Linked DNA regions of Oryctolagus cuniculus. The protein of the gene in region 1 binds, or shares a complex with, the protein of each later gene. Links are inferred from orthologs where the notes say so. Each region holds a gene or a part of one and is shown on either strand. Other genes may lie near its edges.

Evidence for each region. The genes of interacting proteins can lie anywhere in the genome.
Region 2: the proteins of LPL (region 1) and GPIHBP1 are in contact, whole or in part, in a crystal structure (PDB 6OAU), measured with the Homo sapiens proteins. The link is inferred for Oryctolagus cuniculus from reciprocal best matches to the Homo sapiens genes LPL and GPIHBP1. Residues at the interface, in NP_000228.1 of Homo sapiens: Tyr367, Gly368, Thr369, Ala371, Glu372, Glu374, Leu403, Met404, Lys406, Lys430, Lys440, Ile443, Cys445, Ser446, Arg447, Glu448, Val463, Lys464, Cys465, His466, Asp467, Ser469; in NP_835466.2 of Homo sapiens: Cys68, Lys69, Ser70, Leu92, Ala94, His95, Gly96, Asn97, Thr98, Glu99, Ser100, Leu103, Thr104, Thr105, Ser107, Trp109, Cys110, Thr111, Asp112, Ile117, Lys119, Val121, Glu122, Thr124, Val126, Met128.

Annotation. Positions count from the first base shown.
Region 1 is NC_091439.1:2,927,655-2,932,270, reverse strand, and holds part of LPL (lipoprotein lipase precursor), read left to right. Parts: intron 1-1,497; exon of another isoform or gene 1,498-1,729; coding exon of another isoform or gene 1,730-2,368; exon of another isoform or gene 2,369-2,455; intron 2,456-3,763; coding exon 3,764-3,884; intron 3,885-4,616. Other genes in the region: large ribosomal subunit protein mL48, read right to left, coding at 1,730-2,368. UniProt on the Homo sapiens protein: Key enzyme in triglyceride metabolism.
Region 2 is NC_091437.1:167,323,652-167,328,069, forward strand, and holds GPIHBP1 (glycosylphosphatidylinositol-anchored high density lipoprotein-binding protein 1), read left to right. Parts: upstream 1-1,845; 5' UTR 1,846-2,031; coding exon 2,032-2,083; intron 2,084-2,420; coding exon 2,421-2,540; intron 2,541-2,808; coding exon of another isoform or gene 2,809-2,881; coding exon 2,882-2,998; intron 2,999-3,075; coding exon 3,076-3,338; 3' UTR 3,339-3,445; downstream 3,446-4,418.

The sequences.
Region 1 (4,616 bases):
GCCGGGCGCTGCTGTACCAGGGAAAAGCAGGAGGCCTGTTTTGGCCACGCCTGTGGCGTCATGCACACTCGTCTGTCTGTCGCAGCAGAGATAGCAAAGTGATGCAGGAAACCCTCGTTGTGAGAGGGAGAGAGCCACTCTTCTCCATTCCCCTAATTGCCAAGGCCAGGGAGACCCTGTTCTCATCCTCTACTGCTTTCCCAAGACATAGCAGAGAGCTGGATCAGAAGTGGAGCAGCCAGGACTAGAACCGGCGCCCATATGGGATGCCAGCGCTGCAGGTGGCGGCTTTGCCCGCTACACCACAGCGCCGGCCTCAGTTTGCCATTTCTAAACTTGGCTCTGCACAAAGGCAAGAGCCATCTGTATTCTAAAGTGGAGCTGACCTCGAGCATGAGAATATACCAAACCTTCTAAGATAGCTCCATTTTGCCATGAATTTGTTTCCCCACTTGGATTTCAAGTTTGACCTCTTGCTTAGGGCAAGACCTAAAGGAGCGGAGTTGGAAATGGGAGAGGAGTAGGCGGAGAGCAGGGGCAGAGAGGCACATGTCAGGAAAGCAGGCTTCCGTGCAGTCCAGGGGCAGCCCGAGCAAGGGAACAAATAAAGAATAACTTCCGGGCCGGCGCCGCGGCTCACTAGGCTAATCCTCCGCCTTGTGGCGCCAGCACACCAGGTTCTAGTCCCGGTCGGGGCGCCAGATTCTGTCCTGGTTGCCCCTCTTCCAGGCCAGCTCTCTGCTCTGGCCAGGGAGTGCAGTGGAGGATGGCCCAAGTACTTGGGCCCTGCACCCCATGGGAGACCAGGATAAGTACCTGGCTCCTGCCTTCGGATCAGCGCAGTGCGCCGGCCACGGTGGCCATTGGAGGGTGAACCAACAGCAAAGGAAGACCTTTCTCTCTGTCTCTCTCTCACACTGTCCACTCTGCCTGTCAAAAAAAATTAAAAAATTAAAAAATTAAAAAAAGAATAACTTCCTATTTTTAAGATTTGTTTTCTTTGAAAAGCAGAGTCACAGAGAGAGAGGGGAAAAGAGAAGAAGAGAGAGATTTTGCATCTGCTGGTTCACTCCCTGAATGGCTGTAACAGCTGGGGCTGGACCAGGTCAAAGCCAAGAGCAAGGAGCTTCATCTGGGTCTCCCACCTGGGTGCTGGGGCCATCTTCCACTTGCCTTCCAAGGCATATGAGCAGGGAGCTGGATGAGAACTGGAGCAACTGGGATGCAAACCCAGCTCTGATAGGGGATGCTGGTGTCGCCCGCAGCGGCTGAACCCGCTGTGCCATGAGGCAAGCGCCACTGGAGAACTTCCCAAGGGAACAACGCATCTGCTGTAGGTGCCCAGACGTAAATGTGGCTTGTTGGAATGTGCACAGGTACATTTGGTGGCATGGAGGCTGGAGCCTCTGTCCTTCAAGGAACCCCTTTAGAGAGGCGGGAGGGAACCCTGGGATCCCCTGACTTTTCAGAACCAGGAAGTGTGTGTATGGAAAGGGCTTCTTTTTTTTTTTTTTTTTTTTTTTTTTTTGATGACAGATTTTTATTAAATGGAAGACACGGGAGATGGGGCGAGAAGTGGCAAGCACAGCCACGGGAGAGCAGGCATTCCTGGCTACGGGAACAAGAAGTTATGAAATCTAGGATTAGGTTCTCCTGCTTAGCTCTGACACTCAGGAAGGTCCTCTCCGTGGCACTCGCTCTCACCAGTGCTGGCATGAATGCATGTGCGCTAGTTCAGTTTGGCCAATAGTTCTTCTAGTTCAGGCCGGGCTTTGAACCGTCCTTTGAAGTCTTCTTCGGTGTGCTCCCTCACTGACAGTCTGACTCCTTCAGGAAGATTACTCTGGATTATTTCCAAGAAAATCTCTGCAAATGTAGCACTCAAACCGCTGATCTGAACCACTCGCTCGTGTGTGGTAAGGACTGAGTCCACGAACATTTTGGTGCCTTGATCCTGCAGCTGCAACACCTCCATGGTTTTGGTGGGCATCGCGTAACTTTCTTCAACTTTAATGGAAAGCTGGTTGCAGAGGTTGTGAATGTATCGGGCGTAACTCTCTGCCAGGGTCATGTCGTAGGCAGTGAGGTGAACGTTTAAAACCCCATATTCATAATCTGTCCCCAAATTGATGGGTCTCACTTCTACTTTTCCCCTCTTCTTCTTGGGCTCCTGAGCTTTAATTAGGTGCTTGTATCGTCCAATGCCATGGGTGGGTTTTGACTTGTAGTGCCGACTGGTGCTCAGTAGAATGCCACCTGCAGAATAAATGGGATTCTCTCCTGAAGTTCTGACTCTTAAGAGGGAAACCACTTGCTTAAAAATGATATTGCTCCTCAGGCACAGCACCTTTCCCAGGGTTCCGCTCATCCTTTCCTGCTGCGACCTCTTAGCTGTGGAAACCGAAGGTCCGCGCCAACAGCCGCGATTCTGGGACGTCTGTAATCGCTGCCGGCCTTGATCGGAAAGGGCTTCTATCTTGGAGACAGAAGCCCTCACTCACCTGGGCAGCCCGCCCTTCCAACTCCAGGGTCACCTGTGCAGGGTCACCTGGAGCTCCCAGCTTCCCCCACGCTGGCCTCTAGTGCTGCCTCCCAGGGCTCCGTTTGACTGCGAACTCATATCCTCTTCTCTCTTAGTAGCTGTGAGGATTTTATTTTGTTTTGTTTTCTTTTGTTTTGTTTATAGCCAGTATCTGGCTGTTATTTTTGTTGTCAAAAGAGAAATTTGTAAACAAAGTAGGGGTTGTTGTTGGAAGCTCCCCATCAATGCAAGGTCCTGGGAATTGGTTCATCAGAGCAAACCACTCATGCAGCCCACAGCTGGACTTTGCCAAATTCTAAACCATTAACATTATGACATCTGTGTCCTAGCTGAAGAGAAAGTATGTTTAATAGACAGCAATATAAGTGAGAAGTAAGAAAACATGTGGCCAACTATCTGGAGATACAGAAGAAAAAGCATCAATATAACTCTCTTTTTTTTTAAAAGCAGATTATTTATTTGAAAGATAGGGAGAGAGAGAGAGACAGAGAGAGACAGAGACAGAGACAGAGACAGAGAGTGAGCTCTCATCCACTGGTTCTCTCCCCAAATGCCTTCAATGGCCAGGATTGGGCCATTGGTCAAAGCTGGGAGACCGGTGCTCCATCCAGGTCTCCCACGTGGGTGGCAGGAACCCAGTGACTGGAGCCATGGCGGCCGCCTCCCGGAGTGTGCCTTGGCCCAACCTCACTTTCCTCTGTCATGTCATAGCAGCTGCGTTCCAGGCCTGCTGTTTTCTCTTTCAAATAAAGAGGAAACACAAGGTGGTCTGACTGGAAGGAGCTTGCAGTCAAGGAAGGGGGTGGGGTGGACAAAAAGCTGGTGAACAGGAAGAAACACCCACCCATCTTGCAAGGGCACAGGTGCCGGATGCGCTTGCGCGGTGCAGGTTGCTAAAGCAAAAAAATGCCCAAGACAAGGTGCAACTCGGGACTTTTCAGTTTAACCTTCCCAGGAGCCCAGCAAAGACTCCTGCCTCCGCTGGGCATGCTCCAAGCACACTTTTCTGTGAGGGTATAGAATTGAGGCTCTGGATTTTTCTAGGTGTGAACACTTTGTGTTCACGAGCAAACCTTCCTGAGCCAGGCAGACACTGTGGAATGAGCGTGCTCCCTGTGAGTCTCCGGCGAGATGCGTGCCGGGGGCCTGCATCACCCAACTGTGGGCCGTGGGGTTTCTATAAAGACTGACGGGCACTCGCCCTGCCTTCCTCCCCTACAGTCTTCCATTACCAAGTAAAGATCCACTTTTCCGGGACCGAAAGCCAAACGCAGACCAACCAGGCCTTCGAGATCTCTCTGTACGGCACCGTGGCCGAGAGTGAGAACATTCCCTTCACCCTGTGAGTAGTCCCGGGGCTCTGCCTGCCACGCGTGGGCTTGAGTCTGAGAAACAGAAGGGGATGTTGTACCAGAAAACAGGCTCTGGATGGAGAAACTGGGCCTTCGCTCTGTTTTGTGTTGGGAAAGAAAATCCTCTCAACTGGGGCCATCTTGTTTTCTTTCTTTTTTAAAAGATGCATTTTATTGAGTTGAAGGCAGAGTTATGGGGGAGGGGGAGAGGGAGAGGGAGAGAGAGAGAGAGAGAGAGAGAGAGAGAGATCTTCCATCCACTGGTTCACTCCCCAGATAACCACAACGGCCAGGACTGGGCCAAGCCAAAGCCAGGATGTAGGAGCTTCTTCTGGGTCTCCCATGTGGATGCAGGGGCCCAGGTACTTGGGCCGTCCTCTGCTGCTTTCCCAGGCTCATTAGCAGGGAGCTAGATCAGAAATGGAGCAGCTGGGACTCAAACCAGTGCCCATATAGGATGTGGGCACTGCAGGCAGAGGCCAGTGCCTGCTCATTTTACTTTCATTTACTATCTATAATTTTTCCTTTCCTGAATCATTTTGCATTTGCTTTTTCCTCTTATACAATTATTTAAAATAAACAATAATTAAATCCCCTGAAAAGACTTGACATTAAAGAAAATGGACAACAGGAACAGGAAATCACTCTATAAATGTAAATGTAAGACATACAGAAAATACATATAGTAAAAACCATGACATATTACTGATCAGAGGAATGCA
Region 2 (4,418 bases), on another chromosome or scaffold:
GTGCTGTTTGCTGCATTTTCTTTGAGGATTCTCTGGATTTGTTTATTTGAAGGGCGGAGCAGCAGAGAGAGGGGGACAGAAATTGTCCATCGGCTGGTTCACACCCCAAATGCCCGCAGCAGCCACCTCCCGGGGCGTTAGCGGGAAGGGGGGCGGGCAGCAGAGCAGCTGGGGCCGGATCTGCAGTCAGGAGCGACGAGCGACGCCTCAGCCAGCTGCGCCGCCACATCAGGGCCCCGGGCGTCTGCTCCCCAAGGGGGCCGACAGGCTTGGGCGGGGGCGGGGAGCGAGGTGCCATCTGGAGCTGGTGCCAGCCAGCGGACGGCTCTGGGGTCCCAGAAAAGGAGCTTTCTCAGAAGTGGGCTCTGGGCGGTGCAGTCAGGGTGGGGCAGGGGTCTAGGCCCAGCGGATTCGGGGGCTGGGAGGGGGCGAATGCCCCCATGAGTGTGGGTGCGTCCCCCCCAGGGGCCTGGGCTCCGTGGGGAGGGCAGCCAGAGCCTGCGCCCCCACCCCGCCCACGCCTGCCTCCTTCTGTGCTCAGGGACAAAGGGGGCTTGGACCTGCCTGGCCCCTCATGGACCTGCCCCTTCCTGCCCCCCCCCCCCGCTCCCGGGAGGGGGTCTGACGCTGCTCTAAGAAGCCAGCCCGGCAGCCTGCCAGAGCCGGCTCAAAGCCCCTGAGTCAGCAGAGGGCCGGCTGCAGAGGGCGGGGAGCGCGGGAAGGGAGCCATGGCCCCCCACCCCCACCCCCGTGGCCTGCTCTCCTGGGGGTCCAAGCGTCCCCTCTCCAGTCTCACAGCTGACTCCGCCCCCGTCCCTTCCAGCCCTCCTGCGGGAGGGGACAGAGCAGGGGGCTCGCAGCCCAGACGAGGCCCCATCGGCTCCATGCCAGCACTGCCCCTGCCCCTGCACCCACCTCCACTCTCAGCCCCTGCCCAGCAGGAGGGAGTGCGAGTGCCCGCGGGTGTCCCCGGTGCCCGGCCAGCACCCAGCTCTGAGCCCGAGGCTGTTGCTGCCAGGAAGAGCAATGGGACTTCCACGGGAGCCGGGCACGGGAGGGAGCCGGGTGCTAACACTGGGCACAGGAGGGAGCCAGGCACGGGAGCCAGTTACGGCCAGGACCCCAAAGCCCGGGGGCTGCGGGCAGGGGGCGGGGGTGACCACACTGCTGACAAGGGCACTGGGCTCGGCATGGCTGGGGGTGGGGGGCAGCCTGGGCTGGGGAGGAGGCTGGGCCCAGGGCAAAGGCTGGGCAAACCCAGGCCCTGATGTGGCCCCTGGGGGACACTCAGGACCAGCGTCCGTGTCCGCCTGGGAGATGCATGGGGGGCCAGGTGTCTGCACTGTGTTGGGGACCCGGCTCCCCCAGCCTTGTGAGGCCTCGTCCCCACCCAGGGGCCACCACCCTCGGCCTGGCCAGATGGGACTCCAGGAAGGACAATGCGTGCCAGGCCTGGAAGGAGATAGGGTGCACAGAGCTGGGGGGCTGGGCTCTCATTTACCTGCGAGTGTTTGGCCCCCAGCGTTGTGGCCCAGCTGGGATCAGTGAGGCCATCTCTCCCCCTGGGCGAATCTCGGGCTCTGGCCGGGACTGGGCAGTGCCCCCCCCCCGGAGCTAAGGAGGAGCGTCCCCTCCCTACCCCCACAGGGTCAGCTGGCCCTGGCCAGGGCCGTGTAGAGGTGGCACCGCAGGTGTAGCCCCTGCCCCCCGCTGAGTTCCTGGGGTCTTCCTGGGAGCAGCTCCTGCAGTGCAGACCAGAGGGACTGGAGGGAGTGGGTGAGAGGCGCACGGGGGGGGCTGCCCAGGTGGACAGGACGCCCAGTGCTGACCACAACCACTTCCTTCCCCCCGCGGCCCCAGAGGTACTGGAGGGAAGCGGCGTCCCCGGGCTGGCGCCTGTAGCTGGGGGCCAAGTCGGGACCATTGTTTGCCGCTGCAGGGGTGGGGGCCGTGGGAAGCCCCAGCAGTGCCCTTCGTCCCACTCAGCGCAAGCCCAGAGCCCTGTGCGAGGACCCGGCTCGCTCGGACGGGATGAAGGCGCTCGGGGCTGTGCTCCTGGCCCTGTTGCTGTGCAGGCAGCCAGGTGTGGGGGCAGAGCCCGGGGAGGAAGAGGGGCCCCCCGGCCCCCAGCCTCAGGCTCAGCCTCTCCAGCATGGGTGGGGGTCGTGGCGCGGGGCGGGGGGGTCCGTCGGCTCTCCCGGCCTCAGCTTCCTGCCCTGTAACACAGCAAGGCTGAAGTGAGGGCCCACCGCAGCACCTGCTGGGGCTGGTGGCCACCGTGCAGGCCAGCAAGCCGGCTGCGCAGGGACAGAGCAGGCCCTGCCGGGGCGGGGGGGCGCCCGGGGGCAGAGGGGCGCGGCCCCGAGCGGTGTCCTCTGCGCCTGGGTAGCCGGGGTTCACAGGCGCCCCTGCACGGCCAGGGAGAGCGCGGGCGCAGGAGGACGAGGGCGAGGACGACGACGTGGGCCTGGACGGCTACAGCGACGATGACGAGGAAGAGGAAGAAGAGGCCCAGGCCAACGCCGGCAGCAGGGACACAGGTACCGTCCCCCCCCCCGCCCAGCACTGGCCAGCGGGGCTGATGTGACCGGCGACTGAGGGGCGCCTGGCACACCCCACTCCTCTCACTCAGGGGGAAGGGGCTGGGGGCCCGGAGCGGGGGCTGGGGAGGCCTGGGTTCCATTTGGAAAGAGCTCCTGGCCCTGGAGAGGGTGGGCAGGGCGAGGCGGGCAGAGCCGCAGGGCAGCCCTGGGCGGGGAGGAGCTGAGGGCTCTTCGTGGGGGCGTTCACCCTCCGCGATCCGCACAGCCCCGGCTCCTTCTCCCGGGCCCTGCACTGCCCCTCAGCGGGCAGGGGCCTCAGCCCGAGCCCCGTCCTGCAGGGCGGCTACAGTGCTACACCTGCCAGGCCCTGCAGAGGGAGGAGCGCTGCAGCCACACCCAGAGCTGCGCCCACAGCCAGGCCTCCTGCACCACCCTCATCGCCCACAGCAACACCGGTGAGCCGCGGCCCCGCCCCCACGAGGCCCCTGGGGAGCCGGGCCGGGCCTCAGCACCCCTCCCCCTCCCTCCCCAGAGTCGGGCCTGCTGACCACCTACTCGACGTGGTGCGCGGACACCTGCCAGCCCATCACCAAGACGGTGGAGGGGATGCAGATGACCAAGACCTGCTGCCAGTCCACCCTGTGCAACGTCCCGCCCTGGCACAGCCCCCACCCCCAGGAGCCGCCGGGCGGCAGCAGCCCCGGCCACCCGCAGGGGGCGGGGGCCGGCGGGCCCCTGAGCAGCCTGGCAAACGTGGGCGCAGCCCTGCTGCTCAGCCTCCTCGCCAGCCTTTGAGCAACAGGGACCTGGGTGCTGGCCCCCACCGCCGGCGCGGCCAGCCTGGCCCCCACCCGCCCCTCGGACCCCGCTGCCCCGTGGGAATAAACAGTACTGGCTCCTCGGCCCGCGCCTGCTTCCTCCGCTCCCCGCCCAGCCTGGCCGGTCAGCCACTCCCCGCTGCTGCGGCCCCCAGGGGCTCCCCAGGCAGAGAGATGCCCACCACAGCTGTGTGGTCTGGGAGGCTGCAGGGGCAGCCAGCAGGGGGCTGGGGTCCGCAAGGGAGGGGGACCGGGCATCAGCTGAGGTGGGGCTCAGCAGCCCCGTCCTGGTCCGGGGACCCTCCCCCAGGCCGGCAGCCAGGTTACCCCCTGCTCTTCCCCAGGGGCTCCAGGGAGGAGAGGCCTGGGCAGGAGGGAGCCCGGCCCCTGATGTCTCCTCTGGTGGGCCTGGGCCTCCGTTTCCCCGGCCGAGCAGTGGGGAGCAAGGCTCACAGCTGGGTGTCCCACAGGCCTTTCCTGCTGATGCCCGTCCAGCGGGCAGTGAGGCGCCTGCGCTGTGCACTGTCTCCCTTCCTTACTACTAAGAGCCTCACTGCCCAGCTTGGGGAGGGGGCTGGAGGCAGACCCCTCTGTGGAGGCGGCATGGTCTTTCTCCTTCCTGCTGGCTGAAACAATGGCTGGGGCCCAGCAGCCACCTTGTGCCAGGAGGCAGCATGCTGAGAATGGCAGGGCAGCCTGGGAGGAAGGGGCCCCGCATTGCCTGCCGCAGGGTGGCCCTGCAGGGGAGGGAAATACACTGCCAGGCTGAGTGTTCAGTCTGTGATACTCACACTCACACACACACACGCATGCATAGATGCACACACACTGCCAGGCTGAGTGTTCAGTCTGTGATACTCACACACACACACACACACACGCATGCATAGATGCACACACACTGCCAGGCTGAGTGTTCAGTCTGTGATACTCACACTCACACACACACACGCATGCATAGATGCACACACACTGCCAGGCTGAGTGTTCAGTCTGTGATACTCACACACACACACACACACACGCATGCATAGATGCACACACACTGCCAGGCTGA